2 linked regions of the Xenopus tropicalis genome follow. The protein of the gene in region 2 purifies or fractionates together with the protein of the main gene of each other region. This does not show direct contact. Links are inferred from orthologs where the notes say so. Each region holds a gene or a part of one and is shown on either strand. Other genes may lie near its edges. The genes, in order: wdr82 and zc3h4.

Evidence for each region.
Region 1: the proteins of zc3h4 (region 2) and wdr82 purify together in Homo sapiens (affinity purification with western blotting; 4 studies listed by BioGRID and IntAct, with this or other methods). This does not show direct contact. The link is inferred for Xenopus tropicalis from reciprocal best matches to the Homo sapiens genes ZC3H4 and WDR82.

Annotation. Positions count from the first base shown.
Region 1 is NC_030680.2:128,223,329-128,239,532, reverse strand, and holds wdr82 (WD repeat-containing protein 82), read right to left. Parts: upstream 9,739-16,204; 5' UTR 9,531-9,738; intron 7,876-9,530; 5' UTR 7,846-7,875; coding exon 7,685-7,845; intron 6,706-7,684; coding exon 6,608-6,705; intron 6,444-6,607; exon of another isoform or gene 6,360-6,443; intron 6,130-6,359; coding exon 6,063-6,129; intron 5,025-6,062; coding exon 4,925-5,024; intron 4,822-4,924; coding exon 4,705-4,821; intron 3,618-4,704; coding exon 3,462-3,617; intron 3,316-3,461; coding exon 3,246-3,315; intron 3,163-3,245; coding exon 3,020-3,162; intron 2,842-3,019; coding exon 2,812-2,841; 3' UTR 852-2,811; downstream 1-851. Other genes in the region: glyctk (glycerate kinase), read left to right, coding at 13,745-14,037, 15,562-15,721. UniProt on the Homo sapiens protein: Regulatory component of the SET1/COMPASS complex implicated in the tethering of this complex to transcriptional start sites of active genes.
Region 2 is NC_030684.2:77,126,858-77,143,106, reverse strand, and holds the start of zc3h4 (zinc finger CCCH domain-containing protein 4), read right to left. Parts: upstream 10,610-16,249; intron 10,345-10,609; coding exon of another isoform or gene 10,295-10,344; coding exon 10,223-10,294; intron 9,746-10,222; coding exon 9,644-9,745; intron 5,959-9,643; coding exon 5,847-5,958; intron 5,382-5,846; coding exon 5,272-5,381; intron 4,456-5,271; coding exon 3,578-4,455; intron 3,494-3,577; coding exon 3,258-3,493; intron 1,470-3,257; coding exon 1,224-1,469; intron 618-1,223; coding exon 1-617. UniProt on the Homo sapiens protein: RNA-binding protein that suppresses transcription of long non-coding RNAs (lncRNAs). LncRNAs are defined as transcripts more than 200 nucleotides that are not translated into protein.

The sequences.
Region 1 (16,204 bases), on a different chromosome or scaffold from region 2:
CTTTTGAAATAACAATTTTTGAAGCTACGCAAGTCCATAAAAGCCACTGCGAGTGCTCATGCTTCTCCGCTACAGACGAAAAGAAAAACTAAAGCTCCGAAACCCAAACTCCCATGTGTAAACCTGTAGTAAGTGTTGCAATGACAGGACATCCTCTATTGGTATAGTAAGGGAATCAGTATAGTATATACCAGTGTTGCACTAAGGCCTCTAGCACATTGGGCATTAAGTTCACCAATGCCACCTGGCACTTAAGTGGTGGACAGTTTGTCCCATTTGGCCTGTTTGCAGTGGACAACAAAATGCTGTGTACTAGGGGCCTATTATGACCCAGATGTTGCTGGTGTGAATTATTTTAAGGGCAGGACATTCTCTATATATCAAGTTAATATGTTGGTTATTAATAGGCCATCACAATGTATAACAGGGGAACTATAGTGAAACTGTAATATAAACTTTATCTCATAGAAATAAAACATTCTGAATATAATCAAAACTTTTACACAGTTTTATGAAATAATTGAATAACTCTTCACTATCCCCTTCCTAGCAATGCCTTTCTACATGCACGAGATTTTGAAGGACAGATTTTGAAGGACAGCTAAGTCAAACACATCGTTGGTCATAACCCCCATTGCCTAGATAATGTATAAGAGCTATCTTTCAAAATAACCGACAATGCTGCATGTAGAGAGACAGGTTTGCTAAAAGGGGAAAGAGTAATCTGATTATTTAAGACACAATACCAAATTGTAACGTGCTCTGACATGCTGGTGTCAAGTGCACTTTTACCATCTGTGTATTGGGCATTAAAGATATTAAACACATTACTCAAATAAAACAGTACATAGTTGTTTTAATATTTTATTTATGTAAAAAAACATAATTTACAAGAAACAGCTGCACACTGCTTAGCTCCCCAGTAATGGTTTAATCCATTTCTTATTTACATGCACAATCCTCAAATGTATATGAGACAGTGAGATAAATCCTTTATGCTGTGGAATATCTTTATTTTGAAATACTGAATACTGCTTATGAGGCTTCCTTGACATGAGGAAACCATACAATATTTTTGTTTATTTTTTTTTTTTAAAAAGGTTCTGTGTGGTTAAAAATAAACTATCATATTCTGGAGCTGTAAAATACACATTTCCTTGAAGTGTAAAATCTTTTCACCTACTGCTTACTTGACACAAGATCTTAAAGGGCCAAACACACCTAGTTTCCAAATAGGGTATTGCATTAATTTTAATTTAAGATGACAGTTTGGGGCTTCTTTTTATTATATAAATAAAACATAACGCTATTATACTGATAGCAAACCAACATTAACTAGGACTCCTAGATTGTGCTATTTTTTAGTCTATGTAGAGTGATTTTACCGAGGCAAACAATATCACCATTCCCCCAACAGGAACTGTTAATCTATGGTTAAGAACCCAATGCTGCTTTTGGTATGTTTATGTGACTCATTTTAAGATAATGAACAACAGAAAGTAATTAAAATGAAGTGTATATTTGATTTCCAACCAATTTGTGGTCACAAAACAGATCCCAGACTTTTCCTGGGTCCTCTATTAACAAGGTTATTAACCACATAATGTTTTCTTAAAAGCTGAATTCAGTGGTATATATGGATTGCCCTTTAACCTACGTATTTCACTTTCAGCTAGCTACGATTGTCTGTGGGCAAGAAAGAAGCTACTTGTCCTATGCCAGCCAGGCCAATGCAGTGCTGGTAGTGTGGATGCCAACCCAGGCAGTTCTTAATACTAGTGCCAGTTTAATAATGCCCGTTTAATAATGCTGCTTACAGAATATGAGAGCAATATATACTGTTCTGCTACTTATGAATTATATTACCAAATAGATTAACCAATTAATGAAAGAATCATAATCCTGATCTAAACAAATTGGGGCAGCACTAATAAGCAAATTCCCCACAAAGCTACCAGTACTGACTTGAAATAGAAAACAGATGGACAATGCTTAACCTGCGGCCCGTTGGCTATTAAACACATCCAGCATCTCTCAACAATCAAAGGAAACACAGAAATCAATAATAAATGATATAAAGCAATTCCAGTTTAAATCAACTGCATGAAGGAGTCAAAATTGCTGTTTCTGGTAACATGGGATTGTGTTATAGGAATATGTCTGTGTAGATTTGATGCACATCTGTGTAATACTTGTGGCAGTAACTACAGGTGTGGAGAGAGAGCCTATAAGGAAGGAGCACTGCATTAATAAAATTTCTCTTAAAATTAACCAAAACAATAACAGATGTAGCTTCTTGCCAGCCTTTAACTCTGGACAGAGAGGGTATCTAAATAGAATCTGGTTTAGCCGGTTATTTAGTGCGTCATCCACCATGAAATCTACCTCTGGTGTAATATCTGGTGTAACAAGGTTGGTGTGGATTCTTACCATAGTGAACATTTAAATCCTGCTCCAAAGAACAAATACAGATGGAAGCGTATATAAAGGATATAAAAAGAGAGATTGGTAGCATGTGTCTCAAATACAGGTTCGTCAGGAGAAACATGACAAAAATATATACACCATTCCACAAAATAAGTGCCCAGTACATGAAGGTAAAAAACAGAAGTTCATAAATCTTGATATGTACCGAAGAACAGTTCTTATTTTGGCAAAGAGAAATGTTGGCTCAATACTGGGGTATTTTTATGGAAGAATAAAAAAAATAACCATTTTCTTGTTCTTCATATATCCGGGCATTGTGAAGATTTATTTGTGGAAAATAGCTGAAGAATGGGATTTTTACAAATGCCAGCTTCTCTGTATGCATCAGTCATCAATAGTTGGTAGCCAAAAAGCCTGCAATGTAAGATTGTTAGAATCAATTATCCACAGGATTTTCATAGATTCTAAAGCTAGCCACAAACTGTATACTTTGGGACTTCATAGCCTACAAGAAGACATTAATAACTTGATAATGCAACAATAGCTGTATAAAGTGCCAGTTATAACAACCAAAGAATATGATTGTGCTTACCATGTTTGAGCAAGCACTAGTAAACGTCATGAACTTGGGGTTGAACTGTAGGCATGTGATAGGACCTGTGTGTTTGCCATCCAGCACTGCTACTTTCATACCACTCTCACAATTCCAAACATGAATTTTGCCATCTTCTGAGCCTACAGAGATTGAGATGAACCAGTGAGAGGAGTGGATATTGCACAATAGTTGGGATATTAATAAATGTTTTCTTCTAACTTACCGATCATAATAAACTGGGAATCTGGAGTGAAGGTAGCTTCCAGGGTGACAGCCTTACTATTGTTGTAGCCCTAATAAAAAATTCATTATAAGTTTGTTATTTAGTAACGTATTCATCATAAAGTGCAAATATATTCCACAGCAGTAAGTTTAATGACAAGAAGTCATAAGGGCTCTACCTGTTCAGGCCATTTTAATGAAAAAAAAAATTACTCACCCCAAACGTGTGCATAACAGCCCCCTTAAAAGCATCAACCAGACGAAGGAAGCCTCCATTGGTTGACATTAAGATAAGTTTCCCATCATTGCTAAATTTCAGAGCAGTCCACTCACAGGTTCGATCATACTGCATCTTGAAGGTTGCAAATGGACCCTGTGATAAGCAATATTGTACCAGGTTGGTCAATCACTATTATGAAAAGGGACACTGTGCATTTTGTTTAATTTAAGCCCAAAGTGACAGTCAGAAAATGTGACAACTTTGAAGGCCTGGATCATTACTTTTACAGAAATGCTGAACCTTTAGGCTGGTGGATTAAGTCCAGTATATAAAATTCATTTTTAGCGTTTAGTTCTCCTTTCAATTCAGTCTGACACCATCATCATCATCTATTTATTTATTTATAGCACTAGCAAATTACGCAGCACTTAATCAAGATACATTGAATTTGCTTCCCTAAATAAATGGGAGAGTTTGGAAGGAAGGGGAGATTCGGATGGCTCAAGATGGATGATCACAAGCTTACGTAAGAAGCTGTTAGGTGCAGCTTTACACTATAACATACTAGCAAAGGATTAAAAAAATCAGTGCCACTGAGCAACCCTGATAAACTGCAGATATGACCTAAATTTTAGTCTTAAGCCACATGTTAAACAGAGACATTCACCTCTGGTACAAGCATTCCTTGCTCAATGAGGCATTTATAATACATCTATAAGCATAACGTAACGTTGCAGACATTTATAATGTATTATTTATATAGAACCTGCCATTTCCACATTGCTTTACAGAGATTATGGAATATTCACCTAAGTCCCTGCCCAAATGGAGTGTACAACCCAATTGCATTTACACACAGTAAAGTCAATGTTTTTTAGGAACCAATTAACCTGCCTGTATTTATTTTTTTAGGGATGCACCAAATCCAGGATTTGGTCCAGGATTCTGTATTTTTCATCAGGATTGGGATTTGGCTGAAACCATGCCTCTGGACAAACCAAATGCTTAAAATCACATGACTTTGATTTTTATCTATTTTATCCTTTCTGGTCCCAATTTGCATATGTAAATTAGGATTTAATTCGGATTAGTATTGGACAAATCTTTTGCAAATGATCCTACAATAGTGCAATAGTGGATTCTGTGCATCCCTAATTTTTTTGGGATAGTGAGAGAAACTAGGAGCAGCCATGTGGACACGGGAAGAACTTAAAACTCAATTTTGGGTTACAAAACTCACTTTATCAAAAGAGCGAAGATCATACAACTTGACCATCTCTGAATTTACTCCAGCTGCAAAAATGAGACCCTCGGGATCAAATGAACATACAGGTTTTCCTTGAAGATGCATTAGCCCCTGCATGGAAACAAGGAGACAAAGCAAGCCAAAGTTAACTTACAACATTTAGGTTATTACGCAAATAACTAAATACTAAAATAGTGATCAGACAATTACTCACCTGACAGTTAGGCGATCGAAGATCCCATAACCGGATGGTTTTATCCAATGACCCAGAAATGAACGTATCATCCACAGGAGACATAGACAAAGCAACTACTCTGTAAAGCACAACCAGAACATAATAAGATAATACTAGAGTGACTAGGGTAAGTTTAACTGAGAAACTGACACCAGTGTCCCAAAAGCTATAACTACCTATCAAAGTAAAGGTAATGTCACCCAAAGATTTACTGATAGGTTTGCTTTTTGAAAAATTTAGAGACACACTGAATCAAACACTTCAAACCCTCTGTACCATGGGCAGCCTGGACACTCCTTGACCAAAAGATATGGATCTATTGCCGATGCCTGCTATTATGAAGCTATTATAACTAATATTATAGTTTTTTTTTCTCTTATATTTCAGGCTCTCTCATATTCATCTTCCAGTCTGTCATTAAAACCATTGGCTGGTTGCTAGGGTAAATTGCACCGTGGTGTTCAGAGCTGCTGAAATTCTGACCTATCTACTGAACAAAATACTAAATATTTAAAACACAAAATAAAGATCAATTGCAAATTGTCTTAGAATACCACTGTCTTAATTTAAAGGAGAACTACCCCTTTACGTAAATAAAAATGACTGCTGCAGGCAATAAAGCAGAGTGCTATCTGAGTAAAAAGTTGTCAATAACGAAGTGGGTGTTAAATACAAGGGAGTTGCAACACTTTAATCTTGTGCCGAGGTCTCTTATTCCTTACAAACTACTGAAAATTAAAATATCTTACAGCCAATTTGTAAGTATTACTGACAAAACAAAATGTCCCTGGACACTGAAAAAGGAATTCTAAGGATTATGAGACACTATGCATTCTGACTGCATAAACCTTTTCTGGAAAAAGTCATGACTACAAAATCTGAAAACCCGATTTGTGTAGTTTCCCATAGCAACCAACGGATCAGGGTATGGTACAAGTGCACTATTATCACTTGAACATGTTCATGATTTCAAGCAATAATTAAACTTACATTCTAACTACAGAGATTGCTACTGACTATGGGAAAACATCTTCCTGAACGGTCATTGCAGTTTTTCCTGACTCATTCGCCTTTAGCTCCAATATGAAATGTACTGAATTTTGTAAAGCATGCTCACCTCTTGCTGTGTCCAGGGAAATAACGGATGTATTTATTATCATGAAGAGAGAGGTATCGTATTGTGTCTGTAGGAAAAAAATGTATGCACTAAAGATGTAATCAATACTATGTAAACTATACTTCACGCTATATGATTTACAGGCACCAAACATATGCACATCCCACATCAAAAAGGCAAACTAGAAATAGCATAAAACTACTTTATTTATTCCATAAATGTACAAAAAAACCAAATCACATTCTTAGCTGGTCAGTTCTCTGGGTGAAAGGATTCCTTGTCGAGTATGCTCTGTCCTAGGCAAGGCAGTGGCCTGTACAGTTATCTCCAACAGAGGGTGGTGTCACAGACCCTTAAACTGTACAAACAACTACCTCAGCCCAAATCCAGGCAGTCTGTCCGAACTTATTGGCATCTCCATATAAATGTATAACAGCACCTAAAATACACTTATTTTGTTAAAAAAAAAATCACCAAGTAAAATGTTACGGTACACGAACATGAAGTACCTCAATTGTTATTCCCCAAATTACTAGATCACATACCATCAATTTTGTTGGAGCTGTAGACCACTGTATTAGCTGCATGTGTATATCTGATAAGGTCAACACCATATTTTTTACTGTACAACGTCCTCTTGGGCCTAAAAAAAAAAAAATAAAAATATAACAAGGTATATACTTAGAAGAATGAAAAAAAAAAAACAGCAAGAATAAGTGAACAATGAGTCAATTGTATTCGTAAGGTCAACTAAATCCCTAGCAAAACATGGGTTGAATATTATTAAGTAAAGATGCACAGTTCTGCAGTACAAGTTTTCACATACAGCAGGGGTCCCCAAACTTTCTTACTCGTGAGCCACAGCCAAATGTATAAAAACTTAGAGACAACACAAGCATCATAAAAGTTCATGGAGATGCCAAATAAGGGCTAAGATTGGCTATTAGGTAGACTCTATGCACACTATCAGCTTACAGGAGGCTTTATTTGGTAGCAAATCTTGTTTTTATTCAACCAAAACTTGCCCCAAGCCAGGAATTCCAAAATAACTACCTGGTTTGGGGGCACTGAGAGCAACATCCCAGGGGTTGGGGAGCAACATGTTGCCCCGAGCCACTGGTTGGGGATCACTGACACACTGACTCTATGCTTACTACGCAATGTGTGTATGTGCCAATCATAGCATTCTTATTCACAGGGGTGGAACAAAAAAGAGCACGTACAGAGGGGATCACTGGGGTGTAACATACTATGCATAGGGCTGCTGTAAATGTGAATCAATACAGCTTTACTGTGCTTTACTACTGACATTTTCAGCCTATGTTTTGTTAGGGCAGAGCTGTCCAACCAGTGTGAACATGTACCCTAATTTCCATGTCTGCAGGCATACCCTGTCTCGTCTACCTGTGCTACAGTACTGGAAGAGAACGATACCCTTAACAGTGTCTATACAAAACAGGACCAGCACATGGAAATATTTTCAAGGGGGGTGTTCTCCTGTGATTTATTAGTCAAAAGTGAAAACACAGCATTTAGGGGTGAGCTCTTCAGTCAGGTAAATATGTTTGCTGACATTAGTTCCCAACATAAAAAGGTATTTTAAATATCACATATGTACTTACTTCCCCTCCTGGCAATCATAAAGCACAATTGAATCATCGTCGCTGCTGGATATGACTGTTTCACCAGTTGGACTAAAGTCAAAGCAATTTATTTTATCAGAGTTTTCCCGGAAGACCTTTGCCACACGGAAACTTCGGAGCACATTATCGGTGAGCTTCATGATGACCCAATGTGCTGGGACAGCAGGCCCCTGCAAAAAGGGAAATGATGAATGGTTAAGAAATTTGAAACTAGAAAAAAAAAACCAGATGGCTGTTAGGACATAATTAAGTGGGCACTTATATATAAACTGTTCAAATCGGGACAAAATCCTATATTCTGCAGTAGTGCATAAGAACATGAGGGGGGTTAGTAAGTAAGTGCTCATTTCCCAGTTACATCAGACCTCTGGATTAGTCTTATGGTTAAAAACTGGCCTTTGTACATCATTAAAAAGCAATCTGAGTCTATCAAAAGACCACTAGTACCCCAACAGCATTTGACTGGACACTGGAAGTTGCAGTTCAGCATCTCTAAGGCAGATGAGTTACCGATTCCTGGTCTAATAGACAATGCCACATCTAGATTTCCCCATAGAGTTTTAATGATATTAGAATATTGCCCTAGTCACTGTCTGTACAGCCTCTGCATGGCATTTAATATGGGCTTGTGCAGGAAGAATAAGCAGTCTAGGTCAATAATGTGGGAAAACACATTCTATATACCCAAAAGACCACAATACATATAATCATTATGACCCCATAAAGAGCTTCAAGCTCCTAGCACCTAACCCTAATAGGTCAATTTCTCACAGCATTTAACTGCTATCACAGACCCCTTTACTCAAGAAAATTCTGTTTATGCAAATGTTTAATTAAGCAGTGCATGGATTCCCACAGATTAGTCTGAACTTCTAAATACTGGTCTAGTCTGGGACTCAAAATAGGCCCAAACAGTCCCCAACCAGCTCACTGAATGGTGACTGCCTATAGTAACTTACAGCAGCCCCTCTGGCATTTGCAAAAATCCACAGATTAACAGTCCAGGCCTGCCTACATACAGCAATATAATTAAAGTTACATTAAATGTGCAGCGGAATTCAACAAGCTTTCATGTGATGTCAGAGGTTCATGTGTATACTCAGCGGAAAACAGAAAATGTGTTTATACTTGACGGCATAACGGTGTTTGTCTTAAAAGGCAGAGGTCTAGATACTGGACTGTAGGCGAGAATAAAATGGTTTAGCCAAATGTTAAGCACCCAAAGCAGAAGGAGCAAGGATCACCTCTAACTTTACCACCATTTAGGTTTGTGTATGGGCGGGATTACTTGCTTACGTTCCAACAAACTGGAAATGGGGGAATACTGCCCTTTATAGATGGAATGGGAGCCCTGATCACTGAAGAAATTCTGGTGTTCCAACTAGTAGTGATTCTCCAATTCATGAACTGCAACCCTCATCTACCATGACTGCAGTTAAACAGCAGCTGAAAGGCAGAGACTGGACATCTCTGATGTAAAATGTTTTCAATATATAGAATTCCTTAAAAGATGAAACATATATTAAAGGTTTTATCAAAATTAATGTCCTAACAGAGCCCTATAGTGCTGGGGGCTTAGTGCAAACGCCCCCCCTGAATGCTGAAAGGCATGGACCACCTCCTTTGAAATGCTAAAACTAGTAAAACACACATACTGAGTAGCTGATTGGAAATAATATTCATTCTTGTGGACTTTGTCAGTTCCTACTGCGATCCCGGGCAATGTGGCTGCTAATCTGCCGTAAAGCACTTGCTATACTAGTCAATGTACAATAAGCATGGGCGGGCATATAAAGCTGGCTCTAGTATCAGATATATGAACAACCTTTTAGAAATAGGCCAGACAGAACGAGCAGTTCCTTGCGAGTCGAGCCACGTTTTCAGGAGGACCCGGGCCTTACGAATGGCAGTATTTACCCTCCCGAAAGTTAAGAGAAGCTACTTTATACGTTCCTTCCCGATCACCAGCTTATCGGCGCCTGGTAGTTGTGCGACATTTGGGCATACGGATCGCGCGCGTTCCTACATTCTCATTGTCTCCGCCATGTTATTTCTGAAGCCGGGAAGGAGACAGCCCGCTCCTGGAAAAGCGTCATGTGCTATTGGCTGATTCAGGGGGTAGACGCAATACGGAAACGTCTCTGGCGTCATGCGTAACGACGTCCTGCAGGATAACGCCTACAGAACGGCGCCATGGCGGAAGTGGTTTTACGGTGTCGCCATGTTGATTGTGGCAAGAGAACTCGTTCCAGGCTGGTGTGCGAGGAATACTCGTAATGTCCTGAAGCATTCTCGGGTTCGCCCAATCAGTCAGTAAAAGAGTGAGAATACATGCTTTCAAGTATTTTTTTTGAAGTGTCAACATTCTCTATTTGTCCATGGGGAAGCAGTGGTAGGCAATGTAATGTGCGCCAGCTGCTGTTGGCTACAACGCTCACAATGCAGCCATGCGCAAAGGCTGACTAGTGTTCAGTGTTCTTAACAGTGTTCTTTGTGGCCTTGACTAAATACTGGTAATTGGTGTAACTTACTGCAATTATTATTAATAAAGAAACGTTGTCCACTTGTCAAGGTATCAATAGCAATGGATGTGCTGAATCCAAAATTCTGGGATTTGGCCAAACCCTGAATCTTTAATGAAAGTTTCGGCTGAATACTGAAACTAATTTGGATCCTACTTTGCATAAGGCTATGGAAGGATTCGAGAGAACCGCACGTGCAGCGCGTGGTTAAAAATGTTCAAGTTCCATGTTCATTTGACAAAAAAAATCACAGTTTTAAGGATTTGGTTCAGCCAGGTACTTGGATTTGGCCGAATCCTAAACCTAATTCTGGATATGGTGCATCCTTTCCAACAACCCATAAATCCTCAGGCCTAGGGGTTCCAACAAGCAGGAAGAATAAGCAGCTTCAGTAGAAAATCAAATACAGTTCTAGTCCAGGTCTCACCAGTTTAACTATGCAGGCTGGATCTGTCAGTCGTGCTGGGCTGGGGGAGCACCATGCACCTGTAGTCTGGAGGAGTCCGACACTGGACTTTTGGTTTTCCTGAAACTGGGTTGTGTGGTAATTTGTGAAAAATAAAGCTTGTTGTCAGTAGGGATGCACCAAATCCAGGATTCAGTCCTGGGCGGAATCAGAATCCTTAAAATCATGGGACTTTTCGCCACATATAAGCTGAAGTAGAAAATGTTTTGCTGCACATGGTTCTTTCTTGTGCATTCTGTTCCTTAGGTTGCATATGCAAATTAGGATTTGGTTCAGTATTTGGCAGAATCTTTCACAAAAGCATTCGGGGTTCGACTGAATCCCAGTATAGTGGATTCGGTGCATCCCTAGTTGTCAGTGATACATATTGATTCTGGCCTGGACTCACAATCTGTAGATTCTGCCAAATGCCAATTGAGTTGCTATAACATACTATAGACCAATGATCCTCAACCAGCGGCTCAGGGGCAACATGTTGCTCCCCAACCCCTTGGATATTGCTCCCAGTGGCCTCAAAGCAGAAACTTATTTTTTGAATTCCTGGCTTGGAGGCAAGTTTTGATTAGATAGAAACCAGGTGTACTGCCAAACAGAGCCTCTTGTAGGCTGCCAGTCCACATAGGGGCTACCAAATTGTCAACTACACCTTTTATTAGGCAACCTCCAGAAACATTTTTTCATGTGTAGCTCCCTAACTATTTTTACATTTGAATGTTGCTCATGGATAAAAAAGGTTGTGGACCCCCAGCCATAGATAGACTAGTTTTTGGGTGTGTAGGGGCTGAATGGGTCTCTGTGTACTTGAAGGCTGGACCTGGTCCCATTCATTGACTGCAACAAGTTAGTACCGCTTCAATAAAATTGGGGTTGATTTTCATACCTCCTAACCTTCTCAATTTAGATGGGACAGTTTTAATTCAGGAACCAAAAGGGACGGCCATACCTAAATACAGGATAACCCTGCTGTTTGTTTAAATAGCCAAGAATGTGCCAGTAACACTAAAGGTGCCCATACACCTTCAGGTGTGGGCGATATCGGGAGAATCCAGGCTAATTATATATTAATTATAACGACGGGTATAGGCAATGTCGTTCCGGGGACCGCATTAATGAGTCGATGCGGTCCCCGATCCGACTAGATTTTTTAACCTGCCGATCGATATCTGGCCAATTTCAGGCCAGATATCGGTCGGGCAGGCCCGTCGGTAGTGCTCATACATGGCCCGATTATCTGCCAAATTGGTATAAGGGACCGATATCGGGACCTTTTGACAGTTATGTGATATTATCTTTGCAGTGTTATTTGTTTTACTTTTTTACTTTACATGAGTCCATACTCAGTCTCCTGAATTAAAAAGCATTTTCAGCTTCTTTGTTGCCAGCAGGTAGCGCAGGTTTACCATGGGCAACAAATTACCCTGTGGGCCATCACTCTAAAAATCCCCAGCATAGAAGACAGCTTAGCTGGTTGCTGCTACTTCATTAGAACTGTAAGCTTCCTGACCCACACATTCTCCATGCTTATTTTCTTGAGGCATTGCAGCTTTAATGAGAAGCCTAGGCTGACTAAACCTGTGCCCATACAGATATAAAATGTTTTACTTATGACATATCAGGGGAAGAACATGATGGATGGCGAGGCATTAAAGGATAAGTAAACCTTTAAAATACGTGAATGTAAAATTGATGAGAGTGCTATTCTAAGCAGTTTTGCTATTTAAACTTATAATTTTTTTGAGATTCCAAAATATTAAGGGAAATATGTACTTTTAATATGAAAGCATTTTGTTACAACAGTGCCACCTGCTGGTCAGTTTCCAGTCAAGGAAATTGTCAGGAGAGAGAAAGAGGGCTGGTCTGATGTTCTTCTGGTTAGGAAAGATGAGAGGAAAGTTATCTAAGGTTTCTAATGTTTTTCCTAACCAGAAGAACATCAGACCAGCCCTCTTTCTCTCTCCTGACAATTTCCTTGACTGGATCATGGTCAGAAACTGACCAACAGTTGGTGCTGCTGTAACAAAGCTAATTTATATTTACAGTACATATTTTCATTAGGATCTCTGAATATTAAAAAAAAAATGAATGTAAATTGAATGAATGTAATGCAAATTGCAAAGTGCTTATAATAGCACTCTTATAAATTTTGCATTCATTATGTTAAAGGTTTACTTATTCATTAAGGGCTCTTATTAAGTAAATATTTGTCAGTACAGTTAAGGTATTATAAAGCAGGGACCTGCCTCCCAAGGCAAAATCTCTTAATAATTTACTGGTGACATGTTTTGGCTTTTAGTATGGCAAGCTGTATTTTGAACTTTAGACCAGTTTCTGCTGATCTTCAGACTGGGGACCCTGCAGACGATTATTATTGTGTGCTGAGTGTAGTACAAAAGGATATTCCACAACAGAACCTTTACCTAAGTCGTCCTCATTTTTGCAAAGCAGCTATTCCAGGTGCCTTCTGCAGCCTCTGCACTTTTAGAACAAAGCTATTCAAGTAAAGGGTATATTGATTTACTAAATGTTTCCTGTTCCTATGATTCACTGTTTGTGCATTTATCTAGTGATTTGATTCCAGTGACAACTCAGTTTATATGCTGTTGTTAACTTGACTTGTTTACTCATCAGACAGCCTATAAACATCTAATATATATCATTTCCATTACATGTTGTTTTGAGACATAAGTTCAAGCTTTATTTTTGGATGTTAGTCCCCCTTTAACCTTTTAAGTGCCAGTGCATTAAAACGGAAGCACCAGCAATACCAACACTATAGTTCCTCCATTTCTTGATTACATTGTAGCATATGGAAATAACCTGTTGCCTAGTCATGTGTGATCCTGACTGTGCTTGCGAGCATTTACAGGGGTTAATGGGATTATTAAATAGTTGTAGAATTTAGGATGTGCAATAGCATTTCTGGTTTTATAATACACTAATGTTATGTGATCTTTCTCTCTGTAGGTATATTTGGTACGGATGGCCAACGTTTTGCAGTTTCTGCCCATCAAAGCTGCTCTGTCCACCAAGATAAGCATTTCCTCGAGGAGGATGATGTCTTTGCAGACAGATGCCAAACAAATATTTTGGAAAGCAGTTTCTGCTGTTCTGCCACCCAACATGTTAGGGCGAAATGTAGCAGTGAAGGATAATGGTGATGCCTCTGTTCTGCAGTGTGGGGGCAAAGAGTTGCCTTTGCACAACAACCTCTACTTGGTAGGATTTGGAAAAGCCGTACTTGGAATGGCAGCAGCAGTGGAGAAAATAGTTGGAAAGCATCTGCTTCGGGGGGTAATTAGTATACCGAGAGGGATGGAAGAGACTCTTAAACAAGCTGGAAAGAGGTACTGTTCACAGCAGCCTAGTACTTCTGTCTTTGTATCCTTTTTTATTCCTTGCTTCCCTGCTCTGCGCTGCAGTGGATAAGCTCCTCCCCACAATGGTGGGCTGGTAGGAAAACTATTTACAGAAAACTTAAATCGTCACTATATTCCTGCTTTTAATTTCTTTCCTGTGCTTCTGTTCCCTCTAAAATTGTCGTCATGTGCTCAGCTTGGCTAGTTTGCAGAACAAATTGTGTTGCGCATAGAGAATTTTGCGCACAAACACATTTAGTACTAATTTGGACCAACCCACCTCTTTGCGAAGATAATGTTTTAAAAGTGCACAAGAAACCTTTTTGCATCTATAATTTTTACAAGTAGGGTGTACATATGATGTATACTCCCTCTATGTGTGTAGAGCAGGGCTGTCCAACTGGAGGCCCATGGGCCGGATGTGGTCCTCTACATGATATATGTAGAAATATGCCTATAAAGCAGTTTTAATAAAATGTTTGAAATATGTATTAAATTGCAATTTACAGCATTTTAGCTCCCACTTCTTTGATAAAACATCATGATATATGAATGCCAGGGGTCTCCTAACCAGCTTTATACCCAATATGCACATAATTATAACACAAAGTTGCATGTAGAGACCCTAAAATGAAAATATTACACACCAAATTATGTGTGCAAAAATGATTAGTTCCAAAGTCTAATCAAGTACCTGTAAAACCAATTAAAGTAATTTGAAAAAAACCCAGACAGAAACCCAGTCTCACTAGTCTTGCTGTGCATATTTTAGTCACAATCAAGCAGTTATCAGTAATCCTGAACTGAAAATGCTATAAGATCTCCAAAGAATCAATAACATTGCTTAAAGGAGAAGGAAAGTCAAAGTCACTTGGGGGTGCCAAAATGTTAGGCACCCCCAAGTGACTTCAGTAGCCTACCTTTTACCACGGCTGGTGCCCCTGTTCAGAGAGAACAGCACCGGCCCGGGGTAGCTGCCAGCGCTTCCTCCTTCCTGGTTCGCTGCGCACGCATGTGCAGTTGAGTGAAAAGCGGAACTTTAACTGAGAAGTTGGCTTTTTCAGGGGCACCAGCCAGGGGTACAAGGTAAATGATTAAAGCCAAGTGACTTTGCCTTTCCTTCTCCATTAAAGATGCTTAAAGCAGTCAGACTAGGCAAGAAAACACCTTTTAGCCCAATAAAACAGATAAAAAAAAATAATATCTATGTATATTTATGTATAAGTGTGTCCTGTGAGAATTCAAAAGCCCCCCATGCTCCAAAAAATTGTGTGTGTATGTCACAATATGGGAGGTGATGGTGGTGGGGGTTTAGGAAGCAGTGATAACACCTGAATTACGGTTTGCACAGATTCTGATTCACAATATTTGATGAATTTACATGCCATTTTAAGCAAGTAAGCTTGAATTCAGCAAGCAGTATGCCAGCCCTTGGCTTTTGTAAATGTAGGAAATAAAAATAGTCTGGAGATTGTATTTCTGTTTCATTAATCGTCAGTGTAATAATTGCAGGGAAATGCTCCTGTCTCCAGACTCACGGATCCGGGTGATGGAAGGTGCAGAACACAACATGCCAGACAAAGCAGCACTGGAGGCAGCTAGAGAAATACAGAGCCTTGCAGAGAAACTGACAGAGCAAGATATACTGCTTGTGCTGATCTCAGGTGGATGAAAGACAACTATAAACAATACAACTATATTATACTATATTGTATAAAGGATATCATAATGTGACAGCTAGCAAGCAAAGGGTGTCAGAAAGCTATCACTTGGCATATATGGAAAAGAAAAGAATAAAACTGAAGCAGTTCAGTAGATGTGGGATTTCTTACAAAAAATATGTGTACCAGATTGCACCGTGCAGAAGCCATAGCAACCAATCAATTCATGGAATAAAAATACTTACTGGTTGCCATCGATACTGTTAAGCATGTGCATCTAATTTTATGTTTCTTGAACTGTTTCTAAATGCTGTGACCTATTTATATTCTTTTGTCTCTCTTCCTCTTAGGGGGAGGCTCAGCACTTTTGCCTGCACCAGTTCCTCCTCTTTCCTTACAGGATAAGCAAATGATAACAAAACAGCTGGCTATGAAGGGAGCGACCATACATGAATTAAACACTCTGCGTAGGGCTCTGTCACACCTAAAAGGTG
Region 2 (16,249 bases):
AGGTGCTGAGGCAGTTTGTCGGTTAAGACGTGGGTCTAGGTTTGGCATGGATTGCAGGGCCGCAGGCAAAGGAACAAACTCTTGCTTTGGGACAGGCAGTGGAATTAGATCTTCGGGACTCCACAAGATGGTCTTGGCAAAGCTTGGCTTGTTCAGACTGACGTCTTTCTTTATGTGGCTGAACTGCTGAAGCTGAGATCGTGGGTCCCGCAGCAATTGCCCTGGCAGAATTTCCAGTGGTATGGTGACTGGTTTATCCCGCAAGACTCTTTCAGCTTCTTCCTCTTCTGCAGCTGCTTTATTAACTTGTAAGTCTTGCTTGGGTTGAGAAGCATGTCGAGCCAACCTAGGATCACTGGGTCCTGTCTCTGTAGGGTTAGACTCTGTGTTTCGGGAAAGTCGTGGGTCACGGGAGAGACGAGGGTCAGAAGGACGGATGCTAGTAGTAGCCTGGCTCTTTTGTAATCGTGGGTCAAGCTGTCCACCTGTGCTGCTATCTCTAGGTGAAGCTTGTGCCGAGGGTTTGCTAGAAGACTGCTGTCGCAGAGTCTTCAGGATGGAAGTCACGCTGCTACCACCTTCCTCTTCATCACTGGAGTACCAGTTACCTGTGTCACCTGTAAGAGTGTAGATAAATCAAACAAAATTAAACCATGTATCCACACCTGCTCTTGTTGCAATGCATCATCTAGCCTTTTTACAGGGATATGATTAACATCAATTAACAGGGATATATATATATATTATATATATATATATATACCGAATTAGATGCCGCACTCACAGGACAAAGTATGCCTGGGTGCAGTATGAATTCGGTTTGTGCTACATTTCTTCATACTGCACCCAGGCATACTTTGACCTTGATAAACGTGAGTGCCTACTTGCATGCATTCTTTATATATATATATATATATATATATATATATATATATATATATATATATATATATATATAATATATATATATATATATGTGTGTGTGTATATATATGTGTGTGTATATATATATATATATATATATATATATATATATATATATATATATATGAAGAACCAACTAGCCATTAGAATAGACCAAGGAAAAAAAAACTTGAATCTTTAATCCCCACACCCCCTATTTTACTATTTTTTGTTTTTTATATAAAACACTCAACAGACTCCTCCATCACAACACTTTTAACCTATTTATGAGCAGGGCAGTTCCTTTTGCCGATTCTCACCTTCTTCATTTTCTCTTTCCTGCTGACTGGAACCTGCAAGTCGTCTGGCTCGTTCTTCATCTTCCTGCTGCTTTTGTTGAATGCGCAGATACAGAGCTCGCTGGGCAGATGGCAGAAAATCTGGGATATTCCCTTTGTTGAAAGCAGATGTTCCAACTTCAACTCCTGGATCATGGTCTGGAGGAGGTTCCTGGTATGTATGGGCTCCTGGATCCTCCTGCATCCCACCATAGCCATCATAGTTACCTGTTTACAAAGCAAAGAATTCTATTTTAGGGGTCACAGGGCTGGTAAAGGCTTTATAAGAAAGCATATAAAAAGGTGTGAATTGGTGGCCTTTATGGTCAGGGCCGCCATCAGAAATCACGGGGCCCCTCACAACCAAATTTTTTGCCCCCCCCCCCTTTTTCCCACCCCCCAATAGCTGCTCCCCCAGTGACCCCTCCCATCAGTTTCCAAGCAGCCTATGCAATAAAATGTCTCTTTAACAAATGGCACACACTACACAGAACACAAATGAGTTTTATATCTGTTAAATCACATTTATTACTATTATTGATACAGCACAGGCACTTAGAGGAAATGCTTTCTCCTGATTACCCCCCCCCCCCCCCCATGGTCCACCTGCTTTCTCCGGCTCCCCCCCCCCCCCCCAGCATCCACCTACTTTCTCCTGATCCCCCCCAGAATCCACCTGCTTCCTACGGCTCCCCCTTAGCATGCTCTGACTCCCCACCATCGTCCAACTCCCCCTGCGTCCAACTGCATCCACCAACTCCCCCTGCGTCCAACTGCATCCACCAACTCCCCCTGCGTCCAACTGCATCCACCAACTCCCCCCCCCTCCAACTGCATCCACCAACTCCCCCCATGTCCAACTGCATCCACCAACTCCCCCCATGTCCAACTGCATCCACCAACTCCCCCCATGTCCAACTGCATCCACCAACTCCCCCCATGTCCAACTGCATCCACCAACTCTCCCCATGTCCAACTGCATCCACCAACTCTCCCCATGTCCAACTGCATCCACCAACTCCCCCCATGTCCAACTGCATCCACCAACTCCCCCCATGTCCAACTTCATCCACCAACTCTCCCCATGTCCAACTGCATCCACCAACTCTCCCCATGTCCAACTGCATCCACCAACTCCCCCCATGTCCAACTGCATCCACCAACTCCCCCCATGTCCAACTGCATCCACCAACTCCCCCCATGTCCAACTGCATCCACCAACTCTCCCCATGTCCAACTTCATCCACCAACTCTCCCCATGTCCAACTTCATCCACCAACTCCCCCCGCGTCCAACTTCATCCACCAACTCTCCCCATGTCCAACTGCATCAACCAACTCCCCCCATGTCCAACTGCATCTACCAACACCCCCCCATGTCCAACTGCATCTACCAACACCCCCCTCCTCGTCCAACTGCATCCACCTGTTCAGGCCCCTGCCGCAATCTCCTGCTCACCGCCACCGTAGCCTCACTTTTATAAGGTCGCGCCCCGTGCGTACTGGCGTCACGTACACACGGGGCGCGACCAATCAAATTACCCGCTGACCACCAATGATAGGGCCCGTAACTTTTAAAGGGGGCCGGGCTAAAAATACTGTATCACGGCAGCGAGAAGTGTCCGGGCAAAATTGTGTTGAATGCTGCCTGTCAGAACCACTGATTGGTGGCTGCTGGATTTATCTGAATAAGTCTCACCATTCTGTACTTTTTGTAAAGCATTGTTTTAAAATATGAAATATCCCATGCTGTATTGTGCAAAATAAAATGTAAAAAATTCAAGGCAATATAATGGTATCCTCAACACTGCTTTCTTACAAAGGATCCTGGACAAACGTTACAAATGTATTCCCACTAAACATATTTTTGCTGTTCACACAAGAATTTGTAATACTGGGAGTTCATAGCATTATCAAATTGTGCTGACATACTTGATTGCCATCCTATGGATTCTAGGTATTATTTTTACAAGCAAGTAAGTCGAGAGTGATTGGTGTAAAAATACAGCAGCAGTACCTGTATCTCTTACGATCTCTTGTTCCATTCCCATGCTTGGGTGCTGGTAGTAGTCGTCATAGAAAACCTGTCCAGGTGGCCCATCATTCATCATTTCAGGACCATCTTCTGGCCCATATGGCATTATGGGCATATTTTCATCCATGCCCAGCTCTATGTCATGATGCATTGGGCCTGGAGGTCCAGGAAATCTAGGTGGTGGTGGACCTGGAGGACCTCCAGGAGGTCCAGGTGGCCTGCATAAAAAAATACAATTTATTTGGAGCTGCCAACACAATTGTTCATATTTTATCGCAAGTCAAATACATGCACTGTCTTACCTCACTCCCAGCTTATGAGCCAAATGAGCAGTGGGCCGCACTACAATTTCAAAGAGAGATGGTATTTTCCTCTGGCACATCTGTGGATCCATTGGCTGCTGCGGACCAGGTGGCATTGATCCTGGCGGAGGTCCTCCGGACAAAGGGCTACCTGGCATTAGGTCACCTGATGCAAGACCTATAGATCCTGGGCTTCCTGGCATTGGGCCTCCAAGCCCTACCTCCATTGGTAGCATCAGGCCTTCTGGGTTTGGCTGCATGGGTGGCATTGGGACACCTGTTTCCATAGGATCTCCAAGACCACAATGCATCGGGGGTACTGGTCCCTCTGATAAAGGTCCTCCTGTAATTTGTCCAGCAGGCATAGATCCTTCTGGTATGCAACCTGATGAAACAGGACCTCCTGCCATTGGGCCCCCAACAAATGATCCAACAGGTCCTCCAGAAACTAGGCCACCTGATACAGGACCTACAGGCATCTGCATATCTGAAATTTGATCGTCTTGCACTGCACCACCTGAAATGGGGCCTCCAGGCAATGGTCCACTAGGTGGTGGTGCTCCCACCAAAGATGCTTCAGGTATTGATGCACTTGGTACAGGACCCCCAGATATAGGAGCATCAGAGACAGGAACGCAAGGTATTGGTCCACCAGCGATAGGAACTCCAGATACTGGCACACTAGGGGCTGATTTACCACCAGTAGGAGAGGATGGAGCAGCTGGCCCTGTTGAACTTTGAGCTCCATGAGAGTGGGATGGTGTAGGCAGAAGGCCTACTCCTGGTGGTGGCTTTGGTAAAGGGTTGATACCTTGCTTTTTTAGCTCTTCAACATCCTTTTCATCTTCTGCTCCAGCTTCTGCATCTTCAGCCAATATCTGAAACCAATGAATATACAGTGCATAAATATATATATATATATATATATATATATATATATATATGATATATGATATATGTGTAGTTTTTAGAAAGAGTAATGAAACAGAAATGAAGGCAATTGTGCCATGAACAACTAAAACACATTAATGGCCATTAAAATGTATGAAAAAGATAGCGATGTAACCCCTATGTTCCAACACTGTATACATTTCTAAGGGGTTACTTAACCATTACACAGTTACTAATTGATATTGATCAATGGATCTTTAATATAAAAAAATGATTATTGCTACTACTTAATTAGTTGAAAACAGTTATAAGTCAGTTTATCCAATCTAAACAACTAGAAAAGTTTTAAATTCCAGAATACTATTTAAATAACATGTTTAGTAGCAGTTATAGGATTAAAAGGTTGTCTACTGCTATCTTAAATGGGTTGTCCACCTTGTGGAAAGTCCTACCAGTTAAATATAGAAAAAAAAAATCAAAATGGGCCTACCCGACCCCTAAGGTGCAGGAACTAAGAATCAGAGAGTACAGTGAACTTTATGTACTAGTGTGCATTCCCCATTTATACACACCAGGCTTTTCAAAAGATGAAACATAGCCTTCAGCTAACAATGGATATTTATTTAATCAAGAAGCAATACCCCTAAACACACCTGCAGTACCTTATCTGAATGTCTTTATATGGGTAAATATTTAAGAAAATGTAACTACCTGGTATTCAAAAGAAACTGTGCAATTAGCCTATGATTAGCAAATTAGGCAACTGCATAAATGTCAATATTCACCTATCAGTTAAGTTGTACCTTATTTAGAAGTTCTTGTGTTTCATCTGTCAGGGGCTCATGGGAGAACATGCAATCTTCACCATTAATACAATTGCCTGTGGTATGGTACAGCTTACAAGGGAAATCATGTGAGCACAGTTAAGGAAAAATACCCAAAATCAGGTTAAAAACACAGAAACATAAATACATACTCAGAAAAAGTTATACAGAATTATATCTCATATCCGATCTGCATTACTTCATTCTGCTCGACACATTAATCTGCAGTTATAGCTCAAGATTTTTTCTTTGTAGGCTACAAACATTTGTAAATATGAGGTAGCAAATGTAAAGGAAAAAAAGAAGCTTTTTTTTCCCCTCTAATAGTGATAAATAAAAGGAAAAACAGTCAAGTAAAGTAATTAAAAGTGAAGGTATTTTCTTCACTCAGATTCACAATACAAACCAGTGGAGGAAGCGTAGATCATGGTTATAGCATAAGAATGGAGACATTACATTTAAAATAAGTGTATAATATTTATAATATTATTGTCTAGTAGCTTAGTGGTTTAGCAGTCTGCTAATGTACTACTTCTTTCTCTAAGAAAGGATATTGTGCATGAATGGACAGTTTTCTGCTCTAGCACAGTAGCCACTGACATAAAATTTGCATAGTCCACGGCGACGGGGAACTTCCACATCATGGCTGAAATTACAGTGCTCTCCCTGAAAATAAAAAGAAAGGTAAGGATGTAAAAAATGGGATTTTGTGTTACTCATCGTTAAATCCCTTTCTCTCTGAAGTCTGTGGGACACAGGAACATTGGAGCAGAACATCAACCACTAGGAGGCAGAACATTGCAAGGAAAAACAACTCTGCCCTCTAATGCTATCCCCCAGCAGTAAGCCTTAGATCAGGGGTTTCCAATCTTTACTAGTGAGCCACAATCAAATGTAAAAAGACTTGGACAGCAACAAAAGCATCATAAAACTTAATGGAGGTGGCAAATAAGGGCTAAGATTGTCTATTAGGTAGTCTCTATGCACACTATCAGCTTTCAGGAGGCTTTATTTGGTAGTAAATCTTGTTTTTATTCAACCTAAACTTACCACCAAGTGAGGAATTCAAAAATAACTATCTGCTTTGGGGGCACCGAGAGCAATACCCAAGGGCTTGGTGAGCAACATGTTGCTCACGAGCCACTGGTTGGGGATCACTGCCTTAGATGCTCAGTTTTGACTAACAACAAAGGAATGAATAACCCATAACTACTATTTACAGTAATAGCATCAGGAAGGTAGTAGGACCACTTTTCACAGACTGCAGAGAGAAAGGAATTTAGCAGTAACACAAAATCCCCTTTTCTCTGGTTGGTCTGTGGTAAACAGGAACCATGGGGACATACCAATGCTGTCCCCCAAAAATTAGGGAGGAAGAAAATGAGGCCAGAATTAAACCACTGTCGTCTAAAACACTTTTCTCTTGAAGTGGGCGTCATCTGCTGCAAAGACCTTGAATTTGTAGAGTTTCGGAATAGAGTGGAGTGATGACCAGGTAGTGGCCTGCACAGCTGTTCCGCAGAGACACGGTTCCGGAAAGCCTAGGAGGTACTGAATCTCCTGGTCAGGTGCTCCCCAACGCAAAGAGGGAGGAGGACAAAAGGTTGTAATAATAATTTCCTGGTTGATTTGAATTTCCTACATGACCTTCTGAAGGAAAGAAGGTATGGTATGTAGCACTGCCTGAGCTCAGAGACTGTTCTGGCAGAGGTAATCATGAGCAAAAATAAAGTCTTACAAGTAAGCCAGAACAGTGGAGCAGTAGCCATAGGCTCAAAGGGAGCCTCCTGCGTGCCAAGTTAAAGGAGAAGGAAAGGTATAATCACTGGTGATTGTAATCACTTACCTTATACCCCAGGCCATGCCAACAGAAAACTGCACCAGATTTGGGTACCTGCGTGCGAGGGATCCTCTTCTTCTTCATGATCCCAAGTCCTGCGCAGTATAGTAAAAAAAAGCCAGCTTTTTTTGTAAAAGTTTGGCTTTTCACTCAAAAACAGAAGGAAGAGGATCACTTGCAGGTAACCTGGGCCAGTGCAGGCTTCTGCTAACAGCATCACCGACCTGGGGTAACAGGTAAGTGATTGCGGTCACCGGGGGGGGGCTAACATTTTTTCATCCTCCCCAGTGATTATACCTTACCTTCTCCTTTAAGGTCCCAGGGAGGCAGGGGTGCTCTGTAGGGGAATGCAATATGGGCTACTCCTTAAAGAAATGTGCGGATATCCTGAAGCTTAGTGAGCTTCCTCTGGAAGAGGACTGATAGTGCCAAAACTCGTGACTTGAGGGAGGCAAGGTAAAGACCTTTAGTGAGGCCAGATAGTAGAAAGTGCAAGATGGTTGTGACTGAGTAGCAGTCCCAAGGTAGGTTCAGGGCAAAGCACCAGTCTTTGTAGATCCTCCTTTGATACATTTGTGAGACCAGTTTTCAAACCACGAGCATGGTAAAGATAACATGGCAGAATACCCTTTTCTATGGAGAGTTAGGGACTCAACAGCCATGCAGTTAAATGTAGCACACCTGGGTTGGAATGTAGGATGTTTGGGGGAAGGTGTGTAACACATTTGAAAGGGTGAAATCCCATGATATTGTCATGGCATCTGCTGCCAGGGCCAAGGGCTCTTTGCAACCGGCTATTAAACAGGACGCCTTGTTATTTTGTCTGGATACCATGAGGTCCACCTGTGGTTGACCCACCAATGTTCTGAAAGACCTCTTGGTTTACAGACCATTCTCCTGAATCTAGCAGCTGCTGCCTGAGGTAGTCAGCTTGCCAGTTGCCTAGCCGTGGTATGTATACCACTGACCATGTGCACACCTACTGGTGCCTCCCTGATTGTTCAAGATCAGGCTCGAGGTCGAAGTCTTGGAAGATATGGAGGGACGAAAAAAGCGGGAAAGGATGTACAGGACCCAAGTTTGAGGTAGCAAGGTGTTTTCCCCCCTGTGGCCTGACTGATAATTTTATCTAGCTCGGGTTCTAGAGGAGCTACCCTTTGTAAGGGACTTCTTAGATGAGTGCACCGGGTTGCCACCAAAGAGCAGAGGTAAAACTGGTTACTTGTACATCATCAAGAGCTGCCTTGCAGATGTAATCATTGGCTTCATTAATTAATCTGTAGAGCTGTAGTCAGAAGTTCTTGTCTGGGAGTGCCGGAATTGATACCTTCTGTGAGGAAAGTGGACCAAGACCAAGGCCCTGCTGACCCAGGCAGAGGCCAAGATAGGATAGAGAGATTCACCTGAAGTGGTGAAGATTGATCTAAGGAGGCCTTCTCTGGGTGGTCCCACTTAGCATGAATGATGTTACCCAATTGAGCATGGAAAGGAATAGAGAGGATTCCTTTTGTCTCTTAAACAGAGACTGAAGAATCAGGTGTTGATGTCAGGTTTTTGAGATCAAGGCAATGTAGGACTGTGCAAATTAGGTTATCTAATGTTTCTGAGAAGGATTTGTTTAGATCTTCACCTGCCTCTTCCTGGTCTACTGCCTTAGGCCCAAGTCTATCAAGCAATTTGTCTAGGCATGCTGCCAATTTAGGGATGTCAGTGGACAACTGCAGAGCCCACATGGGGGGGATCTTGGATGGAAGTAGAAGGCTGGGCAGGCACAGGAGAGGTGTCCCCCACAGGGGCTTGAGCTGTGGTGGGAGCAGGGAGATCCTGAGCAAGGAAAGGTGCTTCAGAGGACTGATTAGTGCAGGAGGAGCATAAGAGGTCCTTGGGCCTAAAGGTGGCCATACACGGACAAATTCAGCTGTCGTTATCAGTTCTTTAAGACCGATTCGGCAGCTTATCTGCCGTGTATGGGCCCCCCAACAGGCCTACCCCATCGATATCTGGCGTGAAATTGGCCAGATCTCGATTAGGCAAGTTTGATTTTCCATAAGATCAGGGGCCACATTGGCTCTTTGATGTGGTCCCTGATGGGAGCAACATCCAAGGGATTGGGGAGCAACATGTTGCCCGAGTCACTGGTTGGGGATCACTGACCTAAGGCACACTGCTGGGGTCTAGTGGTGCCTAGTGGTGGATGCTATACCCTATGGTTCCTGTGTCCCACAGACATGCCAGAGAAAAGACTTGCCGCCTCATTAAGAGAAAACAATAAAAACCTTTTTTAAGGTTGCATCTTATAAACCAGTTAGACATGTGTACAGCAATGCAATATATTCATCACTCATATAAAAAAAAGTATCAAGATTTCCATGACTAAACCCTTTTAAAGCCATAGAAGTTGCTAGAAGACTAGAAAGTAGGTCAAAACAACAGTCTGATAGGCTGTAAGCTAGTTAGCTAATCTACTGTGCTACTATATAAGTTTATTAGGCCTATAAGTAAAATCATTACCCAGGTGCAGCGGCCTTCTACAAAATACTTGCAGACAACTTTCCCTTTTTTATCAGCCCGATGGTGTGGCTTCTCATAATCATTTCTATACATTCCTCCATCCTAGAATGAGAAAAAAAGAATCAGAAATATACAGTTTGCTTAATTGAAATAAGCTGATTAAAAAAAAATAAATGTTAAAAGTAATGAATGACCACTGAAACAATATGAAAACTGAAGAATTTTCTAGCCTACAGAACTGTATTCATTAACTATATTACCATTCAATCAAAATTGCCACAAGACCTAAATGTTCTTATTCTAATATTAACACACAAGCACCATCTCTGCAGTCTAAGGCACACAAACTGCACAACTCATCAGAACCTTCATTAATCACATCTCATTTCAGTGAATTGACACTTTTAATGTCCATTGCCATGTATCAGTACTAAGTAAATCAGGACAGAAACTGCATTTTAACACCCATTCAGTTTTGATATTGTACACAGATAGAACAGCAATCACAGGCATGATATAAATGTATTTAGAAAAAAAAACCTGTGATTTTATGATTTATGTCTTGAATACATAACTTACACCCTCTTCCTCATAGTATTCATCCTCATCATTTCCCTTCCCTCCTCTGCCTCGTCCTCTTCCTCTTCCCATGATTTTGTATCCCCTTCCACGTGGGCCCCGACCGCGGCCTCTATAAAATCCTGTAAAGGAGGTTAAAAAAAAAAAAAAAAGATCATCACTTTCAAATACCTGTAATGGATTAAACTGCGGTTTAAACTTTAAACTAACGGTCCATGTGTTCCAAAGAAATATCTCCTTTATTACAAAAAAAAAAAAAATACAAAACTTCAGGTTGTAAGATCAGCAGCTTCAACAAAGCAGTGCACAGCAGCACTATTTACATACAGCTTTGAAAACACTCAGAGGTCAACAATCACTGTGTGACAAGACTTATCAAGAGCTCACCTCGACCTCTGCCCTCTTTTGCCTTCCGATACTGGTTAAGTTCCTTGGAATAATCGTCATACTCTTCATCTTCCATTGCTTCTTCTTCACAGTACTGTAAGCAACACAATCCACAATTATATCAGAGTAATAAAAATGCAGGTCTCTACATTTTCAAAATGTTTCTTTAGTTTTTATTTAACAGAAATTCCATAATTGTTTAACTTAATTCATACTGTTAACCTAACAGCTAGAAAAAGAATGAAGCCCTGTAAACAGGTTGAGTTGATAACTTTTAGATTCATTAGCTTAGCATTGATCAAAAAATATTGAAGATGAGGAGCACCTTCCATTGATCCAAAGATACCACAAAGGAGGTTGTGCAGGGTAAAGAAAATTACGAAAAGTGGGCAGGCACATCTACATCCAAATTCGATAACATCACCTGTGCCAGTGACCTTATCGAATTTGAATGTAGATGTGCCTGCCCACTTTTCTTAGTTTGACATCTCCATTGGCTGATTTGAATTATCTTTGGTTATAAATAGACGTGCGTTATGCAAACACGTTGCCTTTGACAAAGCCCTTATTTGTTGAGGGCAAAAAGCATGTCAGGCGCTTTTTAGTTTTGTTTAGGCAGGACTTTACAACGTTGAACTGAGGGGGTGATTGGGTGCTAGTAGCAGGGGTGGAAGGGTGTTGATGCTACCTAGTGGCCCCAGGCAGACTTGACTTGTAATATGGGCTGGCAAGCATAGGTGCTTTGCTGATGGTATTGCATCGCCAGGGAGAGGCCCATTATTGAGATAAGAATGCCCTGTTATATAATCAGATGCCCAAATATGCCCACAGACCAAGCTACCCTAGCCTATCACCTAATCCTGGCAAGAACCTAATATTCATCACATGCCAATTTTTGGCATATAATGAGGTAATAATTTGGCACCTAAGAAGAAATTCACAGTCTTAGAGCAGCTACATTCATAGTATATAGGTAGCTTGTTAACTGTTGATTTACTAGGTTGGCTTTCAGTTGGTCCTTGTCTAAATCGTGATTTTTAATGTAAATTTTAGCTTCACTAATCTGTCTTAGCACAATTTATTTTTATCCTTTAAGTTACATTTTAACAGGGTAATTAAATATGCTATCAATGTGAAAGAGCGGAAGGTGCAACACTGTAGGTCATACTTTTTTCTTTCCCTATTTTAGTTTAGCATTGATGTCTTCCAATGTTTGGTGGGGGCCTAGGTTTCATCCAAGGCACAAGCTATGAAAAGTTTATGTACATTCTGCCCATGCTTGCTTGGGTTTCCCCCAACAATCCAGAAACATTCAGACAGATTAACTGGGTCTTGATAAAATTTACCATAGTTTGTGAATGTGATATGGACTTTAAATTTTAAGCTCCACTTGGGCAGGGTCTGACTGATGTGACTGATGTGAATTATGTATAATCACTTTAAAAGTCCTGCAGAATATGCTGGTACTATATGAAAACAAGCTATATTAAATATATGCTTTAGCTAGATAGCAGCATACAATATTACTACCTCCATTTCTTCATCATACATCTCCTCTTCATCAGGATGATCCTCTCCTGGAAATCCTCTTCCTCTGCCACCTCTACCCCTGAAACCTCTTCCTCGCATCATTCCACGTACTCCTCGACCTCTCATAATTCTTCCTCTACCTCTAATGCCTATGGAATAAACAAGTATAGAAGAGATACTTAACTGTGATAAGCTGTAAAGATTATGCACCACTGCAATAAACCTCAAGAAACCAAAAATAAAATGAATTTGGGGAAGGTCTGACCACAATATGTGTATAGTATGGATGAAGTGTCTGTATGTAAACATAATTGTATTGAATATCCTAAATGTTCTAGCTTTTTCATACTGAGAAAAAAACATTAACAATAGAACATTTTAAAATAGAAAATTACTCTTATAATTGTAACCACACTTAAATACTCATAACTAAAACTGTATTTTCATTTATAAATGAACCAGTGCACAAAACAAAATGGTGAATTGACAGGTTTTTTGGGGTTTGTAATCTGTGTCCAACATGTTTGCCTTTCAGTACTTATAAAATGATATATCTACATATCTGTTGTCCCACCTCTGCCACGATGACTTCCTTCTTTGGCCCTTCTGTACTGGTTCAGTTCCTTGGCAAAGTCATCATAGTCTTCCTTGCCCATGTCTTCCCCTTCATCCCCCTCATACTCGCCATAATGGTCATTTTCATAATCATCGTACATGCCGTAGCCTTTGCTATCCATTTTGGGGTATTTCTTAGGAGGTGGGGCATTGTGCTGTGGGGGCGGAGGGTATTGCTGGTGAGCCTGAAAGAAAACAAAACACCACATAGGACAAAGAATGCACTGGATGAACAGCAGGTGAGAGAATGGGGTTTCAAGTTAAATAATTTATCAAGTCCTTTAGAGCAGCAATTTCTAACCTCTTTTACACAGGTCTTCTAATTTTTAGTCAACACTTTTGTCTTACCCATCTGAAATACCACTTCTGAAAATATAAAATTCTTTCATAGGAAAACTAGTTTAAAAAACAAATGGAAATCATTGCTTTGGCATGTTATATGGACTCAGTGATGAAGCACCTCATTTAATGCCACATATGCCAAGTAAGAAATCCACTTGGGCCTGAACAGATCTCACAGTTTTAGAAACACTTCTTTACAGTGCACATGCTGCCTATTCACAGGACTCATGATCACATGCCAAATAGTTCACAGGGTAATATGAAATTCTGACAGACCTGTGTTGCTGTGGGCAAACCAACAGAACAGGAACCACTATGCATATTTAGATACTGTCAAACATTTTATGAAGCGTCAAAGATTTTTTTGTTGCAATATAGCTGTTAAAAATATAAGTACTGTGTGCTAACTGTAATACTGATATGGGTTGGGTTAACAGATATACTAGAAGACATCAACTATGATCTTAAAACTCACCGGAGGGTAAGAGGGGCTATATTCACGGTACTTCCTGTGTCCCTTTTCACTTGGGCTGAAGTCTGAGTCATTGCTATAGTCAGAAAAGTCTTCACTGGAGGATGCATGACGCTAAAGAAAATCAACAAAAACAATAAGGATATAATGTAAGTGGAAACTGATCAACATCTGATCAATCTGGATGCTTTAAAGCTAATCATTTGAGGACAATTAATGTTTTCTTACAGAATACTACTTATTTGACAGAGCTGTGTATTGGCATATCCTACTATTCCTCACAAATTTTTTTTAATGATAAAATTGTTATAAAGTCCCTGCCCATCAACTAACTGCCATCAATTAACTAGCAAGACATCCCATGATCTTTTAATAGGGAGGCAAAACAGGTAAGGGTGATGGCAAATGATATTAGTCAGTTGCAATGTATCTGCGCTACCATGGGCGACTAATCTCCCCTGAATGCTTTCCAACTGGTGATTTAATGTAAATCACTGGTGAGAAAACATACACATCACAAAGTCACCCAAAGTTTCCTAGCGACTTTGGAAAAACTAAGTGAATTTTATGTTCCCACTGGCTATTTACATTTTTACTTATAGGCATTTTCTGGGGGTTTATCACCCGAGAAGTGCATATTTACTGTGGGGGTCAAATCTCCCTGTGTGCCATGGCCCTAAAGTGTTTATGGCCAGATACCTCAGAATGTTAGCACCCAGTAAACAACCTGAAAAACGGTTAAAAACAAGGTCCACACAAATGTATGCATTAAACATCCTAAAAACAGGACTGTGTAAAGTGGTTGCTGGCTGGAAAGGTAAAGCCAAAAGGTGAAGCCTGTGGTATTTATGTGCCACAATTGCCTGAATGAAAAATACACTTAGGGGCTCATTTATCAATGTATGAATTTCTATTGTGTTAAAGTACAATTTGCGAAAATTTGTATACTTAATAATTTCTGATGTGCGGAAATGTTACAAATGTTATGAAGTCAAAACTTTCTGACTTCCCATAGGACTCAATGGAACTCTGCAGCTCCAACCTGGCCAAAGGAAAGCCATGATACCGAAGCTTGAAAGAATTACAAAACTTTTGTACTCGTTGCGACAAATACGATTTTGTCACACAAATTTTTGCAAAGTACACAACAGTCAGACAAGTTAACAAAAAAAAATTGCTGGAAATACGCAAAAGTTCTTTAGAAAAAATAAAAAATTTTCGTAATCGGACCTGTCGTACTTTAATGAATGTGAAAAGTGTGCAATTCACCCTACAAACAACCACCCTAGATGCTGGCTAAAATAATCAATAAGAAAACAGAATGCCGCACAAACAGGGACTTCAAAAAAAGCAAAAACTGTTTATTAAAAAAGATCTTTTTTAATAAACACTTTTTGCTTTTTCTGAACTCCCTGTGTATGCGGCATTCTGTTCTCTCATATATTATATATATATATATATATATATATATATATACCTTGTGCTTGGATTTCCTTTTCTTCTTAGATCGCCTTTTCTCTTTTTCCTTTCGTCGCTTCCTCTTCATCTTGCGATGTGCCTTCTCTTCATCAGAGTCACTGTAATGCTTCTCACTCTTCTCTTGTGGAGCCTGGGCCTCTGACAGATCACGGGCTCCATCCTCTCCCCCATCATCCTCAAGCTCTCCTTCTTCCAGTTCACCATCCTCCCTGCTGAAAAAAATACAGAGAAGTCAGAGAGCAATGACATTACAACCTTTACTGACTTGTTGAAGACTTGAAAGCAAGTACTATGTCCCATATCCCTTCCAGTATGCTTAAGATAAGCTGAAATGATAAGTGTGCAGGAAAAAAACAAGCAGAACTAAAAATATGTACCTTGTTGTGAAACCAAAACTGTAAGCAATGATAAATGCTGGCCATAAAAAATACTCCTCACTTTAGATGCAGTAGAGTGGCTGTTGATTATAATGCTTCTAAAACCCACATTACTGCTTTAATGAAGCATATAAAAATAGATTAGCAGCTACCTGCAATGCATATTCCTGCATACATATCTATGTATAGCAAAGCTCAATAGATGAATGTAATGCATAATCAGCAATGCATGCACTACAGGAACTAATCCAAAGGTTTTGCACACATAGCCTGTGTGCAGAATACTGTTTCCTTCCAGCTATGTAGACAGCTTTTTATAAAGCTACAATATATGAGGATTTCTATACGTCAGCTATAAAACCAGACATGTACAGAATTTAGCAACTTGCGGCAATTCAATTAAACCCACACCCAACGTGTTTAGTATTTATGTTGGTCCACCTCTTTGCACACAGTTTTTTTTAATGTGTAAATGAAAGCTTATTTTTTTCAAGTATTTTTAAAATTGCATATAGTTACATAGTTACATAGGGTTGAAAAAAAAACAATGTCCATCAAGTTCAACCCATCCAAGTAAACCCAGCAAACCTAACCCACACCTACCAATCTATACACTCACATACATAAACTATAAATACAACCATTAATACTAACTGTAGATATTAGTACAGGTATAGGACCCATTATCCAGAATGCTCGGGACCAAGGGTATTCCGGATAAGGGGTCTTTCCGTAATTTGGATCTCTATACCTTAAGTCTACTAAAAAAAACAATAAAACATTAATTAAACCCAATAGGATTGTTTTGCATCCAATAAGGATTAG